Danio rerio: one gene and its partners. Each later gene encodes a partner of the first gene's protein in a complex. Links are inferred from orthologs where the notes say so. Each region holds a gene or a part of one and is shown in the gene's direction. Other genes may lie near its edges. The genes, in order: ruvbl2, anp32e, pfdn6, mbtd1, asdurf, ing3 and uxt.

Region 1 (3,500 bases):
TCCTGAAGAGCACAGCTCACCGGTCAGGTATACATCAGTGCTAAAATATCAAGGTGAAAGTCACCATAGCTTGCGTAGAATAGACCCAGCTTCCAACGCAACTTTGAAATGAGATTAACGGCGATATTTATTTATTAATTTTTTTGTTATTGTTTGTTTTTTATTATTTTTATTTTTGTTATGGTTTTTATCATCTTATTTCACTAAAATGTTATATATCTGTTCATCAATGTATGCACACGCATATATTATATTATATTATATTATATTATATTATATTATATTATATTATAGTAAATAAAGTGCAGTACCTGTTCATAACTGTGAGCTCTGTTTAATGTCCAGGTATTGCCCAGTCACTTGGTCCTGACACACCTTTCACTGCTCTGGCTGGGAGTGAGATTTTCTCTCTGGAGATGAGCAAGACTGAGGCTTTGAGCCAAGCATTCCGCAAGGCCATAGGAGTCAGAATAAAGTGAGTGAGCCTGAATGAAGAAATAAACATTACTGTCAAATCTTCAATCAAAGACAAGCCTTATATGCTTGTTACTTTGACATTTTGAGCTGTGAAAAGTGAGTGGACATCTTCAGTTGAGGATTAAAAGATTTGCAGATTAAGGATTTGAAAATATAAGTTACTCATTTGCTGTTTTATGTGAGCTATAATATTCCTTATCAAAGTGTGTAATGAATTTAGGATTAACATTTATTTTGGATCATGTTTCATTGGATATTATAGATTCATAGTTGTTTTGATTGTTCTGGTATGTGGTTAGTTTAATTGCAATAACAATGGCATGACGACTTATGTTCTGTGTTTTTGGTCTGCCAGAGAGGAGACGGAGATCATTGAAGGAGAGGTGGTAGAGATTCAGATTGACAGACCTGCTACAGGAACAGTGAGTCTTCTCCTCTTTCTCTATTAGGCTTCTGCTGGTATTAGTTTTGTCTTGTTCAGATTAATTGCTTTTCCGATTAAACTGTTTTCTGTATTAAAATATTAAGCTAAGCTGTTTAAAAAAGATTACTTAAACAGGCATATTATCCAAAATCAGTACATGCCATTAAAAAGTGACACCTCTGTTATTAAAGAAGTGAAGAGCTAAAAACGAATCTCTCGTTTTGTTTCATAGTAGAGGTCACTTTAAGAATGCACAGATCTATAAGGAAAGCATTCGATTACTTTAGTAACTGTTTGCGCTCATTTAAGAGAAAATCAGTTGTGTTTAAAATAAAACACGCAGGGCACACGTTTACATATTAAGTGTATTTGTCTGTTTAATCACACACCTGAATCCCAAAGTGTCCTGCACTTTAGCTCCTCTTTAAATGGTGTGTACAGAAGGCTTTAATTAAATTAACTGATGTTAACAAAAGAAGCCTTACTGTATAGATGTTCATGTGAAAATGTTAATGTTTGAAAATAAATTGCCCTGCTTAGACTTCAATCATTTGGTGCTGTGTTGAACCACTGCCAATACAACAATCTGAATATTCCTCAAAGGCACTCTAAAAGTTAGTCACTGTATTTTGTGCCCACGATAGCAATATTGCTCACGTTCATGTGAATTATTGAATATCTGCAATTCGGCATATGTCTATTTTCCATAGACCAAAATAAAGGTTTATTTAATCTGATAAAATCCAGATAAAAAACATTCCCTGACAAACAGAAGATTTAATCAGGCAACACACTTTCTAGAATGCTCTCTAAACCAATTCAATTGTTTGGCTAGGAAGCATTATTAAAGATGTTTATCATCCTTCAGTGGGAAATGAATTTTTAAATTACTATGAAAGTGAGAAATTAGTTTTCAGCTACTTTTATAAGTTGAGCTTACATAGAGGCTTGGAATGTCCTTAAGTAAACCCTGTTGGTTGTGAATGAGTTTATCTCCTTTCTGTGATTGTGTTAAGGGTGCAAAAGTTGGTAAACTCACTCTGAAGACGACAGAGATGGAAACCATATATGATCTGGGGACTAAGATGATCGAGAGCCTCAGTAAAGAGAGAGTACAAGCCGGGTAGGTGGATTTTAAAGCTGAAATCTGTGGTCATTTTCTATTTATAACAAATTCGCCAGACTGGGCTGCACAATAGCAGTGTTAATAATTATAGTGATCGTTTGAAAATGATGATGATTACTTTTATTTATTGCTAGGTTGATAAATGATTAAATATGCTTTGAACAGTGTGTTTACTTTGGCAAGACTTATACAATATAATTCTCATTTATTATATGAATAAACAACAAAACTAAACTTTTGAGGTCTGAGCCAAACCTCATTATTCAGGCTTTCATGTGCTTAAATTGTTAAATGACCTCATAATGTCATATTTCATTTTCTGCAGAGATGTGATTACTATTGATAAAGCCACAGGGAAGATTAGCAAGCTTGGACGGTCATTTACTCGAGCAAGAGACTATGATGCCATGGGAGCACAGGTACACAGTTTGTCTTCATCTGTGAAATGAATCCATCAATCAATGCCACCAGTTCCCAGAGAGAGTTTTTTATATATGTTTATTGTGTTTAATGTTTATTTCAGACGCAGTTTGTGCAGTGTCCAGAGGGGGAACTTCAAAAAAGGAAGGAGGTTGTTCACACCGTCTCTCTTCATGAAATTGACGTCATCAACAGCCGCACACAGGGATTCTTGGCCTTATTTTCAGGTTTGCCATGCTCTTGTAATTGTTTTTATACTGCTCTTTGAGTGGTGTTTTTTAATAATATCTGTTCATAGATGTTTGAGTATGCGCTGTGTTGTTTGATGGTCTGTTCTGCAGGCGACACAGGAGAGATTAAGTCAGAGGTTCGGGAGCAGATCAATGCTAAAGTGTCTGAATGGAGAGAGGAAGGCAAAGCTGAAATTATTCCTGGGGTAAGTAGACCCAGACTAGTAAGGTAGTCAAAGTGTTACCTTACCTTACCAGCCAACAGAAAGAGTTGGCTTTTTCTTTTTAGTAAAATCTATGTTTTAATGCATTATTATTTGTTTAAAATTTTTTTATAAAAGAGCAAAAAATCTTTCCTGGCTGTATTATTTATTGAATTTATAATAACTAAATCTATGATCAAAGAAATGACATCTAATTTTCAAGTCCTCAGAATTACATTTACAAAAATTCAGATTTAAAGTTTCAAATAATCTTTGTGAAAATAAAATGTAAAACATATGGGTAAAATAATATATCCAAAAAAACACATTCAAGCAATTTCTCGTACGAAAATTTCCATGCCTTTAAATATTTTGAAGTGTTTTCTGTTCACTGAATATAAATAATTTAGTTTGTTTGTTTTAAGTTTGTCTATTCTGGCAGTAAAAGGAAATTTGTCTTTAACACTGATAACATAAATACAACCATACAACAGTCACAAAATAGCAGCATTCAACAAGACAACCACATGAATTAAAAATGATACATTTTTTGATAGATTAAAAAAACATAACTTCCCCAAAGGTACACCTTCTGAATTGTACAGTGGAACTGTGTCTTG
Region 2 (4,003 bases), on another chromosome or scaffold:
TATGTAATTTTTACAGTATAAACTGGGTCTTTTTAGGGGGATAGTGTGTGTGAGAGAGAGTGACTCTGTCTTTCTTTAACAATTTAGGATGCGGGTAATTGGCACCTAAAAGGTTAAAAATATCTAAAATAGGCTGTTGACTACAATAAAGACAATAATAATGGTAAAATTATGATAATAAAGGGTAAAAAACATATCTGATCTGTACTTTTAAAAAGTAATTGTAAAAGAAAAGATTGATATATGATACACAATCAAACAAAGAGTCTGCCCTAATGACTGTTTCATACAGAAAAGATTATTCACTTCTTCTCTGGCAGCCCAGATAAATCAGCTTAGCAGATCTGTTGTGGTGTCCATTGCGGTTCAGGGTCAGTGTGCCACGCAGCCCTAGTGGTCACCTTGGTGTACTGCACTAATGCACAGCGCTCAAAGCCTTCATTTTACATTTCCGTGGGGATACTTGTTTTTTATGCTGTTTTAAAATGAATGAAGACATTTTTAGGGAAAAAAATATGAAGGTTGTTTATTAATATATAATAACAAGTGAATATCCTGCTGGTGCTCAATGACTAAAATAGGCCTTTGTGAGTGAAGCGATCAGCAGCAGCACATTATGGGACAGATGGCGAGCAGACTTTAAGCCACCATGACTGTCTGGGTTTATGGTCAGCCATTTTGTATAGAACAAATGATTGTAGAGAACATACTCAATGTTTAAGACTCTTTTGACCTCACAGAACACATTTTACACGTGTTTTAAGGTGAAAATAACATAAATTATATTTTAAGATGTAAAAATGTTTTATTTTTGACTCTTAAGCATTGGCGTTCACTTTAGATTCTTCAGAATACACCATCTATCCCTGGTCTATAAATTAATTTCGACTTATTGGAGTATTAAAGGACACGGACTTCGCTTCAGGGCGCCAATGAGAACAAAGAATAGGCGGATTTACAGTTTGAAAGCTTCATACTGACGTTCTGGACGACCCGTCGAAAATCTACTGCGCGCGTATTTCCAGCCAATCGCGTCAGGCTATAAAGACCGATTATGTTGATAAGCGTGATCTGTTTGAGTGACAGGCACGTTCTCCAATCACGCGTTGACAAATAGCGATCATCCAATCGAAACGCGAAGTAGGCGGGATCTCAAAAAGGGGGTTGGGTGCGAGGTATCATGGAGGATCAGTTGGAGAACGGCAGCCATTGAAGATAGCCGAGCCGTTGGTCCGCGCTCCGGAGTTTCTGACAAATTTATTTTCTTTACGCGATCCCAGCGCAGCAATAACCAACCAAATGGAGATGAAGAAGAGGATTAGCTTAGAGCTGAGGAACAGAACTCCAGCAGAGGTGAGCGCTTTAACTATTTATTTTGTTCACAGAAACGCGAAATGATGTTAGTTCGCAACCTGTCTGTCTATCTATCCTGCACGCTCGGAATAGTCAGTGGAGTCCGCTGAATGGCAGCGCGGCTTGGAGACCACATGGGCGCCTTAACGGGATGCCAATTTGGATTTTTGGAGACTGCATATTTGGATATACACAAACAAGTAGTCGATATAATCGTAATTTTAAGCGCGTTAAACTCTTGGTGAATCTTTTGTGAACTCCTCACACGATCTCTTCGCCATTACATTAGACTTGTCGATGTGGGCGTCCCAACAAGCACCTCAAAATAACACACTTCGATATTAAGTATTTTTATCGGTCGCAAATATGTTTATTACTCAACAAGTGTCGTCTAATTTGCTTACGATGTTATTACAATGCCCCGATACGATATTGTTCCCGCTTCCAGCAGGAAACGGTAACAATTAAAGTAAAACTGTTGTGTATTGTTATATAATTCCTACCCCAGTCTTCCTTACATGCAAAACATCACGCGAATAAATCTCCTATCTCTTCATATAAAAAGTTTATTATACGCTAGCTTCACAGATGCGCTCCCTACTATATGGCTTTTCTAATCTAGTAACGTACGTTAAAAAACGAGCAGTTTCGTCTTCCATAGGCGGACATCTTACTCTCTCCGGCTCCTCAACATTAGGCATTCACTCGCCTCCGTTCTTCATCTTAAGACCCTCTAAAATGTTCAGGGTTTGAGAGCACAAGCACATATGGAGCGAATGTCAGGTCAAACTGTATTATGAAGCGTTCATGGCTTCTGCAGCGCCTCGCGGTGTGTGTGGTGAGGATGTGTGTGTGTTTCTGCTCGACTCCGTGTTGACGGGCGGGGAGTGGAAGTCATTTTGTTGCATCAATAGTTGAGACGCAGATGACGATGTTTTGAAGCTTTGACTCTGTTATTATTAATAAAAGTTCAGTGGTTTGATTCACTACGCTTACGTGGTGTGGAGAAACGAATAATTGGCGCATAAGAGCCAGAAATAGTCGCTGCGGTTTAAAAAAAAACTAGTTGCCATTTTCTTACGCGGTTACGTTAATGGCGTAATTATGTAACCGTCTGCAAAATTATTTATTCCCGACGTTAAACTATGCATTGGGCTTTAGGAAGCTGTTTAGGATGTCAGTCGCCGTTTTAATTGAAGGAATGTGGCAGATGGTGAAGGGCGAGCCCCCCTTCCTCCTCTCCGATTTTAGTAGATTATTGTAGGCTTGCCTGAACCGAAGTATTGAAGCACGCTTCTTTTGAATGGGGTAATGATGGATGGGATCTTTTACACGAGCTTGAGTTGATACTCTGTCTGACATGACATGGTGGACGTGCATAAGCGATACGTGGCTTTTAACTTGGGTGTATCTTGCGCCACCGGTTTAAAAAATCTTGCGCGCGCTGTGTGAACATCTTGTGAAGAGCTGGCTGTAAATTCACACACACCAAATCCTGTGAGATGAGGTGGGGGAGGCATTACCAGGGCTACATTACACACACATCACGTGCTCAAAATGTAGGTATCTTTCCACAAGGGCAACAAGTTATTGAATATTTAAATTTTAGGGCTGCAGTGCATGACAGTGAGCGCGCGCGTGCACGTTTCTGTTTGTTTTTAATGGGAGAATCAGCACGTCTTTCCTCAAAGCTTTTAAGTGCACATCTGTTTATTTGTTGAATACATTTTTTTTGTATATATAGAAAAGTTTCAAACTTGTCAGATAAACAAATATCTATGTTAAAGGAATTGTCTATATTATAATTTAAATCCCATTTAAATTAAATCATTCCTGTTAAATACATTAATTACTTACATTAAAATGTAAAAGTGTAAATACATTAGAAAATATGTGTGTATTGTTTGTTTCAATAATTGGAATTAAAAACAGGCTCAACCAATGGTGGGAGACGGGGGCGGGGCTATCCAATGATAAATAGCATACAGCAGCTCTACAGAAACAGGAAGGATTCATACTTTGTGTAGTGCAAAATAAAAAAAAAAAAACATTTATATTCCAACCCATATTCAGTTATTTTTTTGCTGTCTCTAAATGTTCCATCTCCGTTAATTTTGTTTATGCTATATATTTTCCAATGTTTTTGAACTTTTTGGGAAAAGAAATGTATTTCAATTTTATTACTATTAATAAATGGGATTTCATTTACATGGGTCATAAATTAATTATAGACAATTCCCTTAACATGTATGGCTGTTTATCTGACACACACACATATATATATATATATATATATATATATATATATATATATATATATATATATTATGTTAGGGAAAAATATTAAACAAAAATAAATTTAAAATAGAGCAAAATTCAAGAAAAACTGAATTTATAAAATATAATAAATAATTTTGTTTTGCAATGTTTCACATGAATTTAAATGTTTTTTTTTTTATATATAAATATACCTATTTAAAAAATCTATTTTGTTTAAATGCACTAAAATATATGACCTATGTTTACTGATAAATTAAGAAAAATATTCATTTGCAAAATGGGATGTACTCTACACACATTGGCGTCAATATACCCTATGATATGTCGCACAAATTTCATAGCTTAAGTGCTTTGAGATTGGTTTTCCAAT
Region 3 (4,158 bases), on another chromosome or scaffold:
ACAAACTACTGTGTCGCTCCCACAAGTAACAAGCATAATCAAAACAACTGAGATTAAAGTGTCCAAAAAAAGTGATTTCTTCAACTAAAATTGCAGGTTCAGAGGACTAATCATCATACAAATGTTTTATATGAATTTTACAAAGTGACAACCTCTGTCATAACTCTAAAACCATGAACACATTTCATAATACACATTCAACTCACAGCAAAGATATCAGGTTCATTATAGAAAAAAGCAAAAATAGCCACACTCAAAATGACTGCCTGACAAAACAATAGAATTTATGAATTATTTATGTTTTATTCTATTATTTCATTCCTGCCCTTATGAAATTGAACCAAGGGAAGTGTGTGTGTGCGCGTGTTTTGACAGACATATTATTAGTGTAACTAACGTTACAGGTTTACCACAGATACTATGGTTAAATGGTGGTTAATGGTTGTTTGTTTGTTTGTCATCTTAGAAAATTTGATTTTTTTATTGAAAAAAATAAAAAAAGTTTTGAAGAATCACAAGAAGAAGAATAACGTTACTAGCAAATATCGATAAAGTTAAAACATCATGACATCTATTACGAAAATTAACCATGGTTTTACCACAAAAACTAACCATGGTAACCTCAAATCAACATGGTTTTGTTACACTAACCCCAGCTAAACTGTAGTACTTTCAGTAATACTGTGGTTATAAATAACAATCGATACGACAAAAAAAGTATGATTACACTTAACTCTTTAAACCATGGTTCATTCTCGTAATAGATGAATATAGCACATGATACTATTTTACCCTACATATGTTTAAAACGCTGCTTAAGGTGCAGATTTAGAACAGTCATTACATTTGCTTGTGTTATAGAAAAAATATATAACTGACTTTACCTGCTGTTGTGATTCTATGTGGTCGCGCACACCCGAAAAAAGACCTTCACGTTAGAATTTGAACCATGCGCGCTGCCATATTGCCTTGACTGTCACTACAGAGGGCTTGGAGGAAGAGGATAGACTGACACCACATGGACAGGAGAGGCACTACGCTTTTAGATACTGGAAAAATTGTACCCATCGTATTAATCCAAAAATCACATTAACTGATGCGTTAAATCTACATATGGTGCGTAAAATTATAGAGCAAATTATTTAAAGGTGTGTGAATAAACATAATACTGAAAAAAATTGTGTATGTTTTTCTTAAACACTAGATGGCGAAGTAACTCTTTTTATCAGCTATCGTAAAACCCCCATGTGACGCAATGATATGACGTCATTTCCCGTGCGCCTCAGACTGTGTGCTTGAGTAGTGTGCTGCTGACTGTCTGCATTTGTCATAAAATATCGTGATTTTTATTATTTAGCAATAATAATAAGTCAGACATTGGAATAGCAGGTGTGATGGCTGAAGCGATTCAGAAGAAATTGCAAGCTGAGTTGGAGAAATATCAACAACTCCAGAAAGGTAACTTACAGCACGAAAAGCTCAGAGTTAGCAATCCAACACTCCCTGCATGGGCATCTTTATATTGAGGCAAAGTTGGTTTTATATTCGCACATTCGTTCAGTGACAATGTGTGGCATGCTCCCTATATTGTTTACCATGGTACTTTGAATATTCGGTCTGAAATCACATGTAAATAAGACTACATTAACGTTATCACTATTTATTTGACTGAATAATGGTGTAATTTGATAGCCATCGTCTGCTAATATGGTTTCACTATTTAGGATTTGCTAACTACAGAATACTTTTCGGAATTTTTAATAGGAGAAAGTCTGAATGTGTAAATATAAAACCAACTTTACCTCATTGTGTAAATTGGCTTTCTCTCTAAAAATCTTATTAAAGTATTTTTGTCAATTCTAAATGGTAAAATCATATTAGCAGCCATTGACTATCAAAATCACCATGGTAAACAATGTAGGGATGTCACAAGTTTTCACTGAACGAATGTGCGAATATAAAACCAACTTTACCTCAATCATCTTTATGTTCGGCTCCTTTAATAATTTATATTTAACGTATTTGTAGTAATTTGTTGTATTCAGGTTTAATATCTATGTAGTGCAATGCACTGATAAAGTACAAATGTCACGGTTATGTTGTATTTGGACTTGATTTAGCTACCCAGAGCTATTTTAGACAAAATCCACATTCAATCTACAAATTCTCATTATTGAACGTTTTAAAAAGGCTTTTACTATTTTATTTTATTTTATGATTCATTGTGTAAGTTTCTTGGTATTTATAGTAACACCATTATGAATATTCATATAGCCAAGTTATACCAGTGTACACTTGCACATTTCCTGCAACATATCTTTGAATAAATAAAAAGTTTTAACTAAATTAGAATAAATATAATTAATTTGAGATTTTATAAATCATGATTGTTCAAAAAACATATACCAAATAATGCATATATATATGTATGTATGTATATATGTATGTATGTATGTGTGTGTATATATGTATGTGTGTGCTCCTTTAATAATTTATATTTAACGTATTTGTAGTAATTTGTTGTATTCAGGTTTAATATCTATGTAGTGCAATGCACTGATAAAGTACAAATGTCACGGTTATGTTGTATTTGGACTTGATTTAGCTACCCAGAGCTATTTTAGACAAAATCCACATTCAATCTACAAATTCTCATTATTGAACGTTTTAAAAAGGCTTTTACTATTTTATTTTATTTTATGATTCATTGTGTAAGTTTCTTGGTATTTATAGTAACACCATTATGAATATTCATATAGCCAAGTTATACCAGTGTACACTTGCACATTTCCTGCAACATATCTTTGAATAAATAAAAAGTTTTAACTAAATTAGAATAAATATAATTAATTTGAGATTTTATAAATCATGATTGTTCAAAAAACATATACCAAATAATGCATATATATATGTATGTATGTATATATGTATGTATGTATATATGTATGTATGTATGTGTGTGTGTATGTATATATATATATATATATATATATATATATATATATATATATATATATATATATATATATACATACATGCATGCATGCATGCATGCATGCATGCATACATACATACATACATATACATACATATACACACATTTCAAAACATGAATTCCCAGAGAAGCTACCAACCACAGAGTCATGGGAGCAGAAAAAATCAATCTGTAAATTTTTAAAAAATTAAATACATTTTAAATAAATAAATAAACATGTGTTATGGATGTGACGAAAAAAGTCTGCGAGTTTACAGTATACAACATACTTTGATGTTGATGTTGATGTTGTTTTTATTTAATTTAGTGATAATATATATATATATATATATATATATATATATATATATATATATATATATATATATATATATATATATTAAATATATATAAATAAAATAACATTAAATATAAACATTTCCCCGAGATGGGTTGCGGCTGGAAGGGCATCTGCTGCGTAAAAACTTGCTGGGTAAGTTGGCGGTTCATTCCGCTGTGGCGACCCTGGATGAATAAAGGGACTAAGCCCACAAGAAAATGAATGAAATAAAAACAATATCAACCTTTAAAACTTTCAGTAATGATAAATCATTCATCATTTTTTTCGGCTTAGTCCCTTTATTAATTTGGGGTTGCCATAGCGGAATGAACCGCTAACTTATCCAGCACGTTTTACACAGCGAATGCCCTTCTATCTGTAACCCATCACTAGTAAACTATACACAATCATTCACACACATACATTACAAACAATTTAGCTCACCCAGTTCACCTACTGACCCAGCCGAGGCTTGAATCAGCGACTTTCTTGCTGTGAGGCGACTGCGCTGCCCACTGCGCCACCATGCTGCCCAGTAATGATAATACTGTAGCTTATTATAAGCTTTAGATTTTAAATTAAAAATAGATTTTATTGATAATAGAAAATATGTAATTGCTTTGATTTTAATGTCTCATGATTGCTCAAATATTTTAAAATTAAAATATTTAATGAAAGGCAAAATTATAATATTACTACATATTATAAAACAGACCAGTGTATTGTACTTGTGTAAACTTTCACTTTAATGTGTTTGATTTCTTTTTAAAATAACAGACATATCATGTATTCATATTTTTCAGAAAACATTATCCAAAAAGTGTGAGATATAGTGTAAAAATGA
Region 4 (3,500 bases), on another chromosome or scaffold:
GAAACTGATGCGTGTGGAAGTGGTGGACAAGACGCACCTGTGCCGCACTCGTGTGGCTCTTGTGGAACAAGTGATCGGTGGCCGGTTACGCCTGGTGTACGAGGAGAGCCAGGACGGCACTGATGACTTCTGGTGTCACATGTTAAGCCCACTCATCCATTCCATTGGCTGGTCACGAAGCATTGGACATCGCTTCAAAAGATCCGGTCAGTGCGGGAGTTTTAGATGAACCTTCTTGAAGTCAATTCAGCATAAATAACATTTGATGACCTTGTTGTGGCTTATGGATGTACATGTCTCTTATGTTGCACTCTGCAGAGGTGTCGAAGAAGATTGAGGGTCAGATGGATGCTCCCTCACAGCTGTTTCTTAAGGTGCTTTTATAATTGCTTTTTTATTCAACAGTTTGTATACACTCCACTTGCTCACATGTATCATCTTTTAAATCCACAGATTAAAGATGTGGATCAGAATGGGGATTGGTTTAAAGACGGAATGAAGCTGGAAGCAATAGACCCTCTAAATCTCTCCGCTATATGTGTTGCTACTGTAAGAAAGGTAAGATTTGTCATTAGTCATTATGGTCCTAACAGGGCATTAAAATTTTGGTTCCCACAGGTCATTCCATATTTTAAAATGTGTTATGTTTATTTTATTTTTTTATTCAAATATGCTAATTTAATGGTTGAGCATTCAGTTTTAAGGTGACAATAAATGTGACAAATATAACCATTTAGTAGGAAATTTTGTTACACTATAACACTTACGGAATTTGGTGAAAACTGTTTGATTCTAAAAGTTTGTGATGTGCAATCTTGTACTTTGTGCATAGCTGTGTGCAGTCTGTATAGTCTGGTAATATTGCAGTTACTGTCTTAACAAGGTGCACTGATATAAGCTTAGCATGCTACTCATTTTGCAGTAAACAAAAACCTAAGGCTTGCATGGATTTACTGCTTGTTAGAATGCCTCACTTCAATATTGACACTGCCCTTTAAGATTATACAATATAATAGCATAGTATTATATGGTAATATCAAGAGGCTATTTTTTCACTAATGTCATGCTTGCAAGTGTTGTTGATTTTTTTTTTTTTTTTTTTTTTTTCCATGTCATTTGCAGTGGACTGTAATTTAACAATAAAAGTTAGATTTTAGATGTAACAGGCTGTCCGCAGGGTCTTAAAACGTATTAATAGTTGATAAATCAAGTATGAGAAAATTAAGGCCCTTAAAAAGTCTTAAAAGCGTTGTCCAAAGTGTTTGACTCCAAAAAGGCATAAATATATTTATTTTCCTCCTAATATTAACAAGGACGTCCTCGATCCACGCGATTGGTTCGGACCGAGTTGTGTCTGGCCAAGCTCCTCCGACCAGATGATGTGATGTTCTCCACATGTAGCGAAACCATAGAGTGAAACAGATGGCAAAATGGGAAAACGTAAGCGTACATTTTGCGTACTCCTGGTTGGAGAAAGACGAGTTTAAACAGTGGCTGATGCCTGAAAACAACCTCATAATTTATTCTTTCAAGCTTGTTTCTTCCGAGCTTATCTGAATTCTGTTGCATGGTTGTGCTCCATTGATTTATTTAACTGCAACTGTTTATTAACAACTGTTTATTAAGTTAAAGGTTTGATACTGATTAGAACTTGAAGTGGCGATGAGGTCTTAAAATATTCTGAGAAGGTCTTTAAAAAGTCTTAAAAAGGTATTGAAATTACCTGTAGGATTCCTGTATATACCCTGTATAACATGGTCGGTAATGTTTCTTTTTTCACCCACAAAAAATTTCCAAATGAAACACTTTTGCTTTTTTAAATAACAGTGATGATTCTTTTCTGAATGAATCTTCGTTTTGAATGAATCAATTTGATTCAGTGACTATTTAATAAAGATCACTTCAGGTCACTCGCTAAATCTGTTAGCCTGAAGTCCCGGGGCTATTGTTTTTTCAGTCGGCCTACCAAAATCTATGTACACCAAGCCATACATGCAGCTCGATATTAGTACTTTTTTTGTTTATAAATGATTGAGCCCTCTGAATGAATCTATTGAATGACTCGTTCATTAAGACAGTTACATTTCTTCACTAGGATCACTTAAAAATGTGTGGCAAAGAGATTTGGAATATAATTTTAATGAGGATCAGTGGGAGACAAAATGCCAGAATACTTTTATTTCCCTTTCCAATAACAAAATAGTTAAACAAAAAATATATAAATTTTTGCATGGGATGTATGTGACCCCACTTCATTTAAGCAAAATGTAACCCAATGTGTCATCCAGGTGTCACAGTTGTAAAACATATTCAAGATTAATCATGCATATTTTTGGGGACTGCAAAAAGATGACTTTTTTTCTGGAAAGCAGTACAGGACTTCACAGCCAAAGCTTTGCAAACTCCATTGGACAACACTAGGGATGTAACGGTATCAGAATTTCACGGTACGGTAATACCTCGGTATGAATGTCACGGTACGGTATTTATTGAATCATTTACAGGAAAAAACAAAACTTATGAAAATACTCCAAAAAAGTGCCAAAAGTGTCAATGACATACAAATTAGCCATCTATCTGTAAGCTTTGAAACAGGAACTTCAATTTTAATAACAAAAAATTATTAAACCATGTAAAAAAATAAAGTTTCAATTAAGTATTGTTGAAAACTCATCACATTCAACATTTAATCACACTCAGCCCATCTACCCAGACGAGAGCTCTGCTAGTCGGACTTCTCATCAAGCATCTCCCGCTGGATCTAATCTCACTATATTTATTAAACGGGATATTTCATTTATCTTGTTATCTTTATCTAACGACATATTCCCTGACTTTGGGCATTGGAATCTATTACTTGTTCTCAGGTAACGTGTTTTGGCTGAGTGCAAAGATAAGTTAATGATTAATGTAACCACGTACATTCTGTATATTGACTGATCGCTTGCCTTTATTTCCTATAATGTATAAACTTATTGTATGTTATACTTTTAAAATGGCCATTATCGATTCTTAAAACTGATACTCAGCAAAAGAGAGGCTGTGTTTCGTATTTTCACTAAAATTAATAGGAGGCAGTTGTTATCGGCTCCGTTTTGTTATAAATATCCACACAGTGAAGATGACGCTCATCTTATGCAGCACGACGCCTCAACATGTCTGCTGTCTAAGTTGCTAATATTAAAATGAAAATAGGCAGTTCCTTAAATCATGTTTACATTTTATTTTTAAGAAAGTGAAACAACGAAGCCAGGGTGATGTGAATGAAGTTATACAGTACACTGTTCCCTTAGAAGATTTACCCGTGTCCTCGGTATAGTCTGCTTTTCCATATCAAACTGAGAAGAAGAGACTGCAGCCTTGATCAAACTTACGAAGTCTGAACTTACACGGAGAGAAAGCAGGACTGAACTGTGCGTGTTAGGCTACTTAATATTCAGGAAAAGCCCCAATCAGAGAGGCGAACGTCTGCAGCCCCGCCTCCGTTTTCAGATGTCTCC
Region 5 (4,220 bases), on another chromosome or scaffold:
GACTTTAGCTCCAACTCTAATCAAGCTCTTACTAGATATACTAGAAACTTCCCAGCAGGTGTGTTGGAGCTAAACTTAGCAGGACACTGGCCCTCCAGGACCAAGGTTGGACACCCCTGTGGTAGGGTCAGGACAGTCCTAAAGGGCTTACGCATATTGGGGGCCCCTAGAGATATGATTCGGGGTTCATGCACAACCCCCCACCCCTCTCTTCGCTTCACTTTAGAGCATTATTCCTATGTACAAAATTTAGGAGGGATACAGTGGCTCATTGGTTAGCACTGTTGCCTCACAGCAAGAAGGTCGCTGGTTCGAGTCTTGACTGGGTCAGTTGGCATTTTTGTGTGAAGTTTGCATGTTCTCCCATGTTGGTGTGGGTTTCCTTCTGGTGCTCCGGTTTCCCCCACAGTCCAAAGTCATGAAGTATAGGTGAAATAAATAAACTAAAATGTCTGTAGTGTATAAGTGTGAATGAGCGTGTATGGATGTTTCCCAGTACTGGGTTACAGCTGGAAGGGCACACGCTGTGTAAAACATATGCTGGATAGGTTAGTAGTTCATTCCGCTGTGGCGACCCCTGATGAATAAAGGAACTAAACTGAAAAGAAAATGAATGAATGAATGTCAAACTTGTTTTCTAAGGACCAGTGCAATTTGTTTTTACTTGCCCCATTACAATTCAAACACTTATTTATAAACAAAATAAGTTTATTTTAAGAAAGATAATTGAACCAAATTGGTAAAGAGTTTTAGAATATACAATTTAGTTAATTGTTTTTTTAGAATAATTGTTATTTGTACCGATTAAATAGCTTTACATGGACAAAAAAATTAACACCTGTTTAAAATTATTTAAGACCTGTAACACCCTTTTAAGTAAAGTTTTAAAAGGCCTAAAATGTTGTTTTTGAAATGTAAGACTTTTAAAGTCCCTGCGGACACCCTGAACAATTTTTCCATTAAGATGAGCATTATTTGTTCATCTTGAAAGTTAAATGCAAACAATCCTCTTTAGGATAGCTCTCAAATTACTGAGGATAAACCAAAATATTTGGATAAGATAATGTACGCCTAGAGCTATGATAGGCTTTGTTTATTACCATCTTATCGTACATTAGAAGAATGGCAAAATATGATATAAGATAATATGATAATATCAGGTTTAGATAGATGGGCTAGCCGCTGTTTCGCGATGAAAAGTCGTTAATATCCGGGTAAAAACTCTATTTGAAAGCATTCGACGTATTTGAACCGTATTTGACCACATTACTTAGATTCCCTGTTTCATTCAACAACGCGTCTTTGTTTAGATGCTGCAGATTTATCCACCCAACATTATTCTTTAACAGGCTTTGTTTATGGGGGATAATGGGGTTAGGATTACGTGACGCACTTTTAAAGCGTCGTTGGCGCATACGTCATTCTTGTGCGACGAACGAGTTACTTGCTCGTGGAGATGTTTCCCTAAAAATGATCTGAAGCGTATTAATAAACAATGTCCTCCAAGAACATACAGCGAACTGAGCCTGGGGCCTCAGAAGAGCGCGCACAAAAAGAGGAGCTGAACCAAAAGGTTGTCTATCATATATGTTTTTTGTAATTTATAGTATACAGTTGACACCAGTAAAACGCGTTAAGCATGTTTAGTAATTTCTGTTTTTTGATGATCCTAAAAACATAACTATTCATTCGCAGATAAAAGAGCAAAAGATTGTTGTGGACGAGTTAAGTAACTTGAAGAAAAACAGGGTATGTAACGTCATATCGTCTTGTCACTTTCTATATATTATCAAGAGTCATTCTGCATTTGGTGTAGCAGATGCTTTCACTTAATTATAGATGTAACAAAGTCAAACCACATCGCTATAGAAGGCAATATATACTAAAATGTTTTCTAGTGTAGCATACAATATAATATATGAACTTATGCTCCACTATACTAATTCGCAATAGATTATAAGTAGACTGTCAGGTGGGGTTGGTGTAAATTGACATGTACTTGCAAAGTTTCTTAGTCAGTGAAATGTTGAAAGCAGCAGTATCAGCAGATATTAAGCAGACAGTCTACTAATACCCAAATGAGAAGTAACTGGCATTTAGTTGCAGTACAACTTTAGTCAGAAAAATGTGCAACAGGGACCATCAAAATAAAGTCTTACCATGATATTAATTACATTCACATTTAAAAATATCAACTAAGAAGTTCCTTCGATGTTTAGAGATATTTTTCCAGTTAAATTTATGAAAGATAAAACGTAATTGTGAAACAGTTTATTTGACATCAATTAAAAGCAAAGTAGAATTTAAGCTTGACAAAATTATCAACTTATAAAGTACCTTAAATGTATCATCTGTTGCCATTTTCTAACCCATGGGGATTCAAATTGGATAATTCCTTTGAACTATTGAATTTATTATTTTAAGATAATTTACCTCAAAGTCAGTGTTCTTCTTATGGCAGACTTGTAAATGAAGCAAATAGGACTGAGTTTCATTTCTGGCCCATTTTTGTGGAGATTTTCTAGAGTACTTCTATAGCCAGTCCATGTGTATAGTGAAGTATCTTATAGTTATGCGTAGGTTTTTAAAATAGCTCTTATGTGCAGAGTTGTGTTTGTATTTATGATTAATTTATGTAGCACCGTTGTCCTGGGAGACTGCACATTTAGTTTCTCTGTATGTTCACACTAGGCATGGGCCGGTATAAATTTCTGACGGTATGATAACCTTGTATAAAAATACCACGGTATCACAGTATTGTGAAAGTGATTACTGCTCTCTCTTTTTTAAAATGTATGGGTAAAATAGAACAAACATTTATAATTTCCCCACTGAACACAAATTATTTATTTTAAGGAACATAATATTTTGGAACAGTAAACATGTCAGGCTAAATAGTTAAAATAAATCTTTGACTTCTGCTCTATTCGTTAGTTTGAAAAACGTAGATTTCTATACAACACATAAAAATATATAAAAAAACTTTTACATATAACTTGGGAACGGTATAACAGAACAATTTACTGGGATTAAAACCTTGAATTTTCCAAACCGCGGTAAACCTTGAAACCGGTTACCGTCCCATGCCGAGATCACACATGTAGTGGAATGACAATAAAGCTCAACTTGACTTGATATCATCACATTCCAGTAATACTAAGATTATATTCACAGAGAGTGTACACCCAGCAACCCAACAGCAATATATTCTTTCTGGCAGACAAAGGAGAAACCCTTAGCTCTTGTAAACGTAAGTGTTTCTGTTATACTTGAGTTGTTTCTGCTTTTTTGATAGATGATACATAAATACAATACTAATGCCACCATTTTGAGTGTGTTCTTCTAACATTGTCATAATATTCTGTTATACAGAGGACCTGGATAACATGCGGAAAGAATATCAAGATATATAGTGAAGTGATATCATGTGTGGGATCTGCTGTGTGGTCAGTTTGACCACACCACATGATCCACTGGAGGAGAATGTGCTTCAAAATCTCAAACACAGAGGACCCAATTGTAGCAAAGACATTACAAAAGAAATCTCAAACTGCAGTGTCCTATTCTCTGCACATGTACTTCATATGAGGGGTTGCCTGACCCCTCAACCTCTTCAAGATGACACTGGGAATATGCTTCTCTGGAATGGAGAGGTGTTTGGTGGTCTGAAATTAGAGCAGGAAGAAAATGACACCAAAGTTCTTCTTCATCAACTGTCAATGGCCACCAGTGCCTCAGATATTGTATGTTTGTTATCACAACTCGAAGGACCGTGGGCCTTTATCTATTACCAAAAGTCTGAGCGCTGCATCTGGTTCGGGAGGGACTTTTTCGGGAGAAGAAGTCTGCTTTGGAAATTCAATCCTGAAAGAGCTTTTTTCACACTCGTATCAGTTGCTTCCCAGCCAGCAGATGATAGTCAATCCCAATGGCAGGAGGTACCACCTGGTGGAGTTTACAGGTTTGACCTAACAGACACTTCACTAGATGGTACATTTATTTTTGAACTTTATCCATGGATTTTCCACAGTGACGACAAGCCAATTGAAAGCCCGGAATTGAAATGTGAAGGTCTTCCCAAATGTGTTTCTTTAAACACAAATAGTTCTGGACTTTACCTGACCTCCCCTGTTTGTCCGATGAACACATCCATTTCATCACTTACAACTGAACAAAATCATAACGCCTCTCAAACCTCTGTTGAAAATCTGAAAGCATTC
Region 6 (4,111 bases), on another chromosome or scaffold:
ATGTTTTATAAAAGCCTCTTACACCACGACTGAACCAAATCATAACTGTCTACAATAAACGTGGGGTCAGGCTGAGGTTTCTTCCTCTCCAGAGACAGCTGGGCAGTTACATTGTCTTCCACTGTTGTGCAAAAGCCTCTTACACACAGACAGAAGCACTAAGTTGCCAGAACTGTCATTAAATATTGCAGTCAGTGCTGCCCTCCAAAGGCCAAAGCTGCATTAAACCTGCAGTCTTCAAACTAGTCTTCTATGTCTCTAATAACCATGAGGATACAAAATTAAGAGACACAAAACATTTGAATTATTTCTATAAGTTATACAATTTAGTAACTTCTTTAACACTGCTACTGATCTACAACAGGGGTGTCCAAACTCAATCCTGGAGGGCCGATGTCCTGCAAAGTTTAGTTCCAACCCCAATCAGACACACCTTAGCTAGGTAATCAAGCTCTTACTAGGCTTTCTAGAAACATCCATGCAGGTGTGTTGAGGCAAGTTGGAGCTAAATCCTGCAGGACACCGGCCCTCCAGTACCGAGTTTGGACATACCTGATTTACAAATTAAACTACAGATTTTCTAATGATAAAACATATATTTCAAAAGTATGTAAAATGTACTTGAAACAATTATTAGTGTAAAATTGACTTTTTTGATTGTATTACTGCAATGTTTTATACTCTGCATGCTTTATTTATCATTTACATCTTTCTCTTCATGTTATACATAATCATTCTTTTGTAAATGAAAATGTATTCAAAAAGAATGCTACTATAAAATAATCTACAAGTTTTTGTCTTAAAATCAGTGAAATATGTTTAAGTAATGTTTATGTGGCCAATAAATGATATAGCCTTTATCTCTGTGGAAATTTACTTTAATTTTACATGTTAGTTACTTTATTTGCTTTATATGCTTTTTTATTTTCTTAAAGATTGAACGTTTCTGTTATGTCAGTTTTATTTAAAAAATGAATTTATCTGTTAAACAATTGTGTCTAAACAATTATATTTACGTGATATAATATCTAATGTAAACAAGTATGTTTAGAACAGAACGAAAATGGCTATTTATTTATTTATTTATTTATTTATCTATTTATTTATTTATATATATATACCTACCTCTTATTGGGAGATGAGCAAATCGTACTAAAATGTACAAAGTACTAAAAGTTACAAAAGGCAGATTGCGTTGGACATCCCACAATGCGCTTGACGTAGTTTCAACTGAAAGAACTACAAGTTCCATAAAAACGATTTTCATAAAGAGTGCAGCTTCCGCGCAACTCCACCATCGTCCAATCAGATCCCACGCCCTTCACGTAAGCCCCTCCCCCGCCAGCTTGTGTTTTTTCCTCCCCTTCAGTTCTCCGCTGCCCGCGACGCCATATTGCCGAAAAACACCCTTTCTCTGAAACCTCCGAAAAACCATCTCCGCCAGAATGTTGTACCTTGAGGACTACCTCGAAAGTGAGTAAAACAGCTCTTTTATCTATATATGTTCGTATTATCGTAAGTAGGTGTTTTAGAGGGTGGTTTAGGGCGTGTTTTGCTGTCACATCCGTTAGCTTGTAACGCGGTTGTTCTTCTTCCCGGCAGTGATCGAGCAGCTACCCATGGATCTCCGCGACAGGTTTACGGAAATGAGAGAGATGGACCTGCAAGTGCAGAGTACGGTTTCAGTTTAAACTCACTTTTGTGCCTTAGAACACCACAGCTGACTTAAACTAACGTAAAGAGCCTTTCATATCAGTGGAGATCTGTTTGGTGAATTTGCAAGCATAATAAAAGCATGCATGTGTTGTGATGTTGCACACTGATGTTAAGTGCAATTAGAGCATGTGGAAGTTGAGTAACACCAGTGTCACCTAAACCAGGGAAAACTTAGGATACATTATTGCATTGAAATGCATTTTTTTGGTCACCCCAAGTAATTTAGAGTCTGACAGTGCCCCCATTGACAAGATTTTGATTGTCTTCATCACACGGGAACACAGTTTACTTATAGCAAATGCATGTATTTGTTAACAGATTAAGGTTTTGCATCAACCATAAACATGCATAGGTACTCATTCTAGTTAGAAATGTATATATTTCTAATTAAATCATTTTTACAAAACAGTTATCACAAAGACATTTCTTCTTGGAAATGTTATAGACAGTTTTCATTACATGTAATTTCCCGGTTACATTTCCCACCAAAATCATAAGGAAAGACTAATATTATTAAATCAATGTTTATATGTGTATATTCAAGTCTAGTTTTGTAGTTATAATTAAGATAAACCTAATTTACATCAGTTAAATATTTTTATATTATATAGTTTTAAATAATTTCATTTTATTTTGTGGTGATTGGGATCTGGATATTTTTCCACAGCTTTAGCAGTGATTCATGAATCACCCTTTGTAGGGGTTGCACCTACAGCCTTTTAATGATCTACTGAGATCTTTAACCAACCATAGACTTCCACAGTCGCCATCTGTGTGGTTGTGAGCCAAGTCGGGCTCTTGACTTCACTTTTGATCATGTTCCTTTGTTCAGATGCGATGGATCAGCTTGAGCAGCGGGTCAATGAGTTTTTTACTAATGCCAAGAAGAACAAGCCTGAATGGAGGGAAGAACAGATGGAAATCATCAAAAAGGTAAAGAACAGATGATGTGCACTTCAGTCGAACTGAGTGTTCTGCAGGTGATAATAATGTAGTATGAGATCTTTTAATGTTGATAATGCTTTTCCTTATTTGAACCATCAGTGTTTTTGGGTTGGACACTTTTTATTGACTCTTTTCAAAATTTAAATTAAACAAAAGGGGGGGAAAAGCAATATATGACATTTTAAAATGAATGGATATTAAATATTACAACCACACTTTACAATACAGTTCCAGTATAGTTAATTTATTTATTACCATTAACTAAGGATGAACAATATTTGCATATTATGAATTAATCATAGTCCTACGTTTAGTAATGTGTTATTAAAATCCATGCTTTTGCTTGTTAACATTAGTTAATCAACTGAGTTACCAAGTACTAGCAATAAACAATTGTATTTTATGTTAAAAAAGATGAATAAATACTGTAATAAATATATTGCTTATTATTTGTTAATGTTAGTAAGTAATTGCATTAGCTAATGTTTTCCAATGCAATCTTATTGTGAAGTGTTACCCATATTGTTTACTCCCGGAATCAGCTGCAAAATATATTGAACAATAAAAATTATATTGCAATTTAATTTAATAAAACATCTAAACTACATTCTAAGTGAAGCACAACATTTGCTTAACTGATATAATAAAGTTTGTATGTATAAGATGAGATCTTTACGCTGAAACTGACAGTGCATATTTTTTGTTACTAGCAAGATATGATATATTATTTTTTTGTTTTTATTTCATTTGTTATTCAATATTTTCCTTATTTTCATTATTATTTTTTAAATTGCATAATGATGAAATAATGATGAAATCATGATGAAACAACTGCTGGTTAAGTCATAACAATGATTGATAAAAAATTAATAATGGATAGTTTTGCATTAGAAGATAATATGCTTTCCTAATGATCTCTTTCTGTTTACCAGGACTACTATAAAGCTTTAGAAGATGCGGATGAAAAGGTCCAATTAGCCAATCAAATTTATGACCTGGTGAGTAATTTACTGTAACTAGCAACACTAGCCTTTGTGTCAGTACTGTATGGTCCCAGTAGGTGGCAGCACATCACTAATAGTAAAAAGCCAATGGATTTCTGGGAAGCTTTTTTGTTTGCTATTTAAATGCATACTAATGCTTTTTCGTGAGATTTAATAGACGTTTTTAAATACATTTTTCCTAATGAGAAGTGACATTTGAACTTGTGTGTGGGTTTGTGTAATCCGTTGTGTGTTGATCTTGTGCCTCTTATGTAGGTTGATAGACATTTACGGAAGTTGGATCAGGAGTTGGCAAAGTTTAAAATGGAGTTGGAAGCAGATAACGCTGGCATCACAGAGATCCTGGAAAGACGTGAGTGACGCCTCTCAATCACCTTTTTTACAGATAACTGGCTAATTTCAAAAGATAAAAAAGGTAGGAGTTGGCAAGTTTTTAAAATCAGTGT
Region 7 (2,846 bases), on another chromosome or scaffold:
TCGCCACAGTGGAATGAACCGCCAACTTATCCAGCAAATGTTTTAGACAGTGGATACCCTTCCAGCTGCAACCCAGTACTGGGAAACATCCATACACTCTAATTCACACACATACACTACGGCCAATTTAGTGTACTTTGTATATTTATGTAAATGCAAACCATTATCTTGGGTGTGATTTATCATTTGACAGCACTGGTTTTTAGTTATAGTGAAGGCCTGACAAAAGCTGCATTTTTTTATATTTCTGCTCAAAATTAAAAAAAATAATAATAATAATAAATAATTTGCAGATTCATGCAGAATAATTTTGGGAGCATAATAACTAAAAACTGAAAACAAATGATATATATTTTGTAAATTTTATTTAAGGTTTACAATGCAAATTCCATTAGATCCACTTGTTTGGTAAACAAAGCAAGTTTTGCATATATTACATCAACTAAAAGATACAGAAAATATTACTTTGCAAACTTTATTGTACATAAATCATATAAACATTTGCATATTAGTCTATCTAATATATCTAAAATAAATATAAAAGCTGAATAAATGTATATTTACACACATTTACGTAAGTAAATACTTGATGGGCTAAAAATATGTATTAGCTCTAGCCTAGTTATAGTATACACTGTAAAAAACAATTCAGGAAATTTATGGTTAAAAATAACGACAGCTGTGTTTGCCGTTATTTTACTGAAAATAATACAGTACAAACTATAAAATATATTTCATTAATAGTGTTAATACATCATTGTTTTGGATTACTAACAAAGAATGTGATGTGTAGATGTTAGGAATTCAAAATGTAATTAACAGGTGTTAGTAATTCACTGTAAAATAAAAGAACACACTCATACACACACATACACTACAGAGAGTTTAGCTTACCCAATGCACCTCTACCACGTCTTTGGATTTGTACACCCGGAGGAAACCCACGCAAACATGGGGAGAACAAGCAAACTCCACACAGAAACATCAACTGACCCAGCCGGGGCTCAACGGTACACACTGTAAATTAAATAAATCATGTAATCATTTGCGTATCAGTCAAAAAAATTATTTAAATTAATATAAAAACTGAACAAATGTTTATGTATACACATATTTACATAAGTAAATAGACTTAATGATAGTGTACACTGTAAAAACTAAATCATAAAATTCCTGGTTAAAAAACATCAGCTGTGGTTGCCAGTATTTTACAGATAAAAATACGATACAAACCGTAAAATAAATTACACATTTTTATGGTAAACTAGCATATTTCATTAATCATTGTTTTGCCGTACTAACATCTACACATCATATTCTTTATTACACAAAAAACAACCATAAGAATATGAAAATGAGGAAAGGAAAAAGAAAGAACCATAGGAATGTCAATAATAATGCATAAAAACTCAATTGTCAAGCAGGAAATTCTGTGCTAAAAGATTACCGCTAATTACTGTATGTTTTAAGAAAACTTGCAGTTAATCAGGGCGATGCAGTGGCACAGTAGGTAGTGCGGTCGCCTCACAACAAGAAGGTCGCTGGTTCGAGCCTCAGCTGGGTCAGTTGGCGTTTCAGTGTGGAGTTTGCATGTTTTCCCTACATGTGCATGGGTTTCTTCCGGGTGCTCCGGTTTCCCCCACAGTCCAAAGACATGCGGTAGAGTTGAATTAGGCTAAGTTGTCCGTAGTGTATGAGTGTGTATGGATGTTTCCCAGAGATGGGTTGCAGCTGGAAGGGCATCCGCTGCGTAAAACATTTCATGGATAAGTTGGCGGTTCTTTCCACTGTGGTGACCCCAGATTAATAAAGGGACTAAGCTGAAAAGAGAATGAATGAATGAATACTGTCAGCTTATGCATTTTTACCTTTGAAATCAGCCTTTTTTGTGTTACAGTGCAAATATTTACCATTATTTGAATGTTTAGGTATACTGAAGTTCTTACCAAAGATGCAGCAAAGATAAAAGCCAACATTCGCATGGTTCTGGAGGTATACGTGATTATTAATATACATTTTTTTAACTTGCTTTTTACTTTTGCTTTTTTGTTTTTACCATTTATTGTGATTTAGAATGTAATAAAATGTGATAAAACTCTGTTTTCACAGGGGTTGAGGGAATTGCAAGGACTGAAGGATCTTCCAGAGGACAGAAGGAGAGAGGTGTTTTAGTACCATACACCAATCACAGCACAGTGTATTCATCTTTGCACATATGACTGCAATGTTTGTTTCAAACAATGTGAACATTATGGCAATCATGTTCAGAAGAACGTTGCCTTTTAACAGGTTGTACTGTTGTTTCCAGAAATAGCTGCTGAATAAAGTGTAAAATTTTTCAGTTAATATGTGTCAGTGGGATTGTTATTAATGTTTAGATCACTTTTTGTGCTTCTTTTTCCTTCAGCTTAGTCACTTATTTATCAGGGGTCGCCACAGCGGAATGAACTGCCAACTATTATAACGATAGGACTAAGAGTGCTCTAGTTATAATATTCTCCTCAGCTTATATGGCTGAACCAATGTCAAAAACTATAACTAAATTGTATAAATCACTAGGGGGTTCATCTCTACATTAAAGAAAGATGGGAGAAAGAAAGTGGCATTATCATCTCAAATGAGGAGTGGCTGGCTAAATATATGTATGGGCTACTTCCCGTTCTTCGTAATAGAGAGAATTTTTCTGGAGAAACATTGTTTTTTTTATTGGGAACTTATTGTTGGAGGCATTGCGGTTCACAGGACCATTTTCATGTCCTAATGTTAGAAGTTTTTGGAAAGAGATACATAGCATTTTAGAAAGTATATTAAATATTTCAATTGATTTCAGCTTTGAGGTACTTTAT

Evidence for each region.
Region 2: ruvbl2 (region 1) and anp32e share a complex: the UniProt entries of both Homo sapiens proteins name them as parts of the SWR1-like complex. The link is inferred for Danio rerio from reciprocal best matches to the Homo sapiens genes RUVBL2 and ANP32E.
Region 3: ruvbl2 (region 1) and pfdn6 share a complex: the UniProt entries of both Homo sapiens proteins name them as parts of the PAQosome complex. The link is inferred for Danio rerio from reciprocal best matches to the Homo sapiens genes RUVBL2 and PFDN6.
Region 4: ruvbl2 (region 1) and mbtd1 share a complex: the UniProt entries of both Homo sapiens proteins name them as parts of the nuA4 histone acetyltransferase complex. The link is inferred for Danio rerio from reciprocal best matches to the Homo sapiens genes RUVBL2 and MBTD1.
Region 5: ruvbl2 (region 1) and asdurf share a complex: the UniProt entries of both Homo sapiens proteins name them as parts of the PAQosome complex. The link is inferred for Danio rerio from reciprocal best matches to the Homo sapiens genes RUVBL2 and ASDURF.
Region 6: ruvbl2 (region 1) and ing3 share a complex: the UniProt entries of both Homo sapiens proteins name them as parts of the SWR1-like complex. The link is inferred for Danio rerio from reciprocal best matches to the Homo sapiens genes RUVBL2 and ING3.
Region 7: ruvbl2 (region 1) and uxt share a complex: the UniProt entries of both Homo sapiens proteins name them as parts of the PAQosome complex. The link is inferred for Danio rerio from reciprocal best matches to the Homo sapiens genes RUVBL2 and UXT.

The regions. Positions count from the first base shown.
Region 1 is NC_133180.1:31,379,708-31,383,207, forward strand, and holds part of ruvbl2 (ruvB-like 2), read left to right. Parts: intron 1-345; coding exon 346-475; intron 476-832; coding exon 833-899; intron 900-1,917; coding exon 1,918-2,024; intron 2,025-2,352; coding exon 2,353-2,446; intron 2,447-2,550; coding exon 2,551-2,674; intron 2,675-2,788; coding exon 2,789-2,883; intron 2,884-3,500. UniProt on the Homo sapiens protein: Possesses single-stranded DNA-stimulated ATPase and ATP-dependent DNA helicase (5' to 3') activity; hexamerization is thought to be critical for ATP hydrolysis and adjacent subunits in the ring-like structure contribute to the ATPase activity.
Region 2 is NC_133194.1:45,163,932-45,167,934, forward strand, and holds the start of anp32e (acidic leucine-rich nuclear phosphoprotein 32 family member E), read left to right. Parts: upstream 1-1,203; 5' UTR 1,204-1,299; coding exon 1,300-1,353; intron 1,354-4,003. UniProt on the Homo sapiens protein: Histone chaperone that specifically mediates the genome-wide removal of histone H2A.Z/H2AZ1 from the nucleosome: removes H2A.Z/H2AZ1 from its normal sites of deposition, especially from enhancer and insulator regions.
Region 3 is NC_133189.1:35,060,256-35,064,413, reverse strand, and holds the start of pfdn6 (prefoldin subunit 6), read left to right. Parts: upstream 1-1,358; 5' UTR 1,359-1,394; coding exon 1,395-1,458; intron 1,459-4,158. UniProt on the Homo sapiens protein: Binds specifically to cytosolic chaperonin (c-CPN) and transfers target proteins to it. Binds to nascent polypeptide chain and promotes folding in an environment in which there are many competing pathways for nonnative proteins.
Region 4 is NC_133187.1:35,459,040-35,462,539, reverse strand, and holds part of mbtd1 (MBT domain-containing protein 1), read left to right. Parts: coding exon 1-206; intron 207-318; coding exon 319-374; intron 375-453; coding exon 454-558; intron 559-3,500. UniProt on the Homo sapiens protein: Chromatin reader component of the NuA4 histone acetyltransferase complex, a multiprotein complex involved in transcriptional activation of select genes principally by acetylation of nucleosomal histones H4 and H2A.
Region 5 is NC_133184.1:42,816,361-42,820,580, reverse strand, and holds asdurf (ASNSD1 upstream open reading frame protein), read left to right. Parts: upstream 1-1,420; 5' UTR 1,421-1,495; coding exon 1,496-1,573; intron 1,574-1,695; coding exon 1,696-1,749; intron 1,750-3,174; coding exon 3,175-3,250; intron 3,251-3,372; coding exon 3,373-3,413; 3' UTR 3,414-3,425; downstream 3,426-4,220. Other genes in the region: asnsd1 (asparagine synthetase domain-containing protein 1), read left to right, coding at 3,426-4,220.
Region 6 is NC_133179.1:11,169,977-11,174,087, forward strand, and holds the start of ing3 (inhibitor of growth protein 3), read left to right. Parts: upstream 1-1,311; 5' UTR 1,312-1,445; coding exon 1,446-1,473; intron 1,474-1,602; coding exon 1,603-1,674; intron 1,675-2,548; coding exon 2,549-2,649; intron 2,650-3,593; coding exon 3,594-3,659; intron 3,660-3,920; coding exon 3,921-4,017; intron 4,018-4,111. UniProt on the Homo sapiens protein: Component of the NuA4 histone acetyltransferase (HAT) complex which is involved in transcriptional activation of select genes principally by acetylation of nucleosomal histones H4 and H2A.
Region 7 is NC_133183.1:10,257,341-10,260,186, forward strand, and holds the end of uxt (protein UXT), read left to right. Parts: intron 1-1,928; coding exon 1,929-1,992; intron 1,993-2,109; coding exon 2,110-2,172; 3' UTR 2,173-2,346; downstream 2,347-2,846. UniProt on the Homo sapiens protein: Involved in gene transcription regulation. Acts in concert with the corepressor URI1 to regulate androgen receptor AR-mediated transcription. Together with URI1, associates with chromatin to the NKX3-1 promoter region.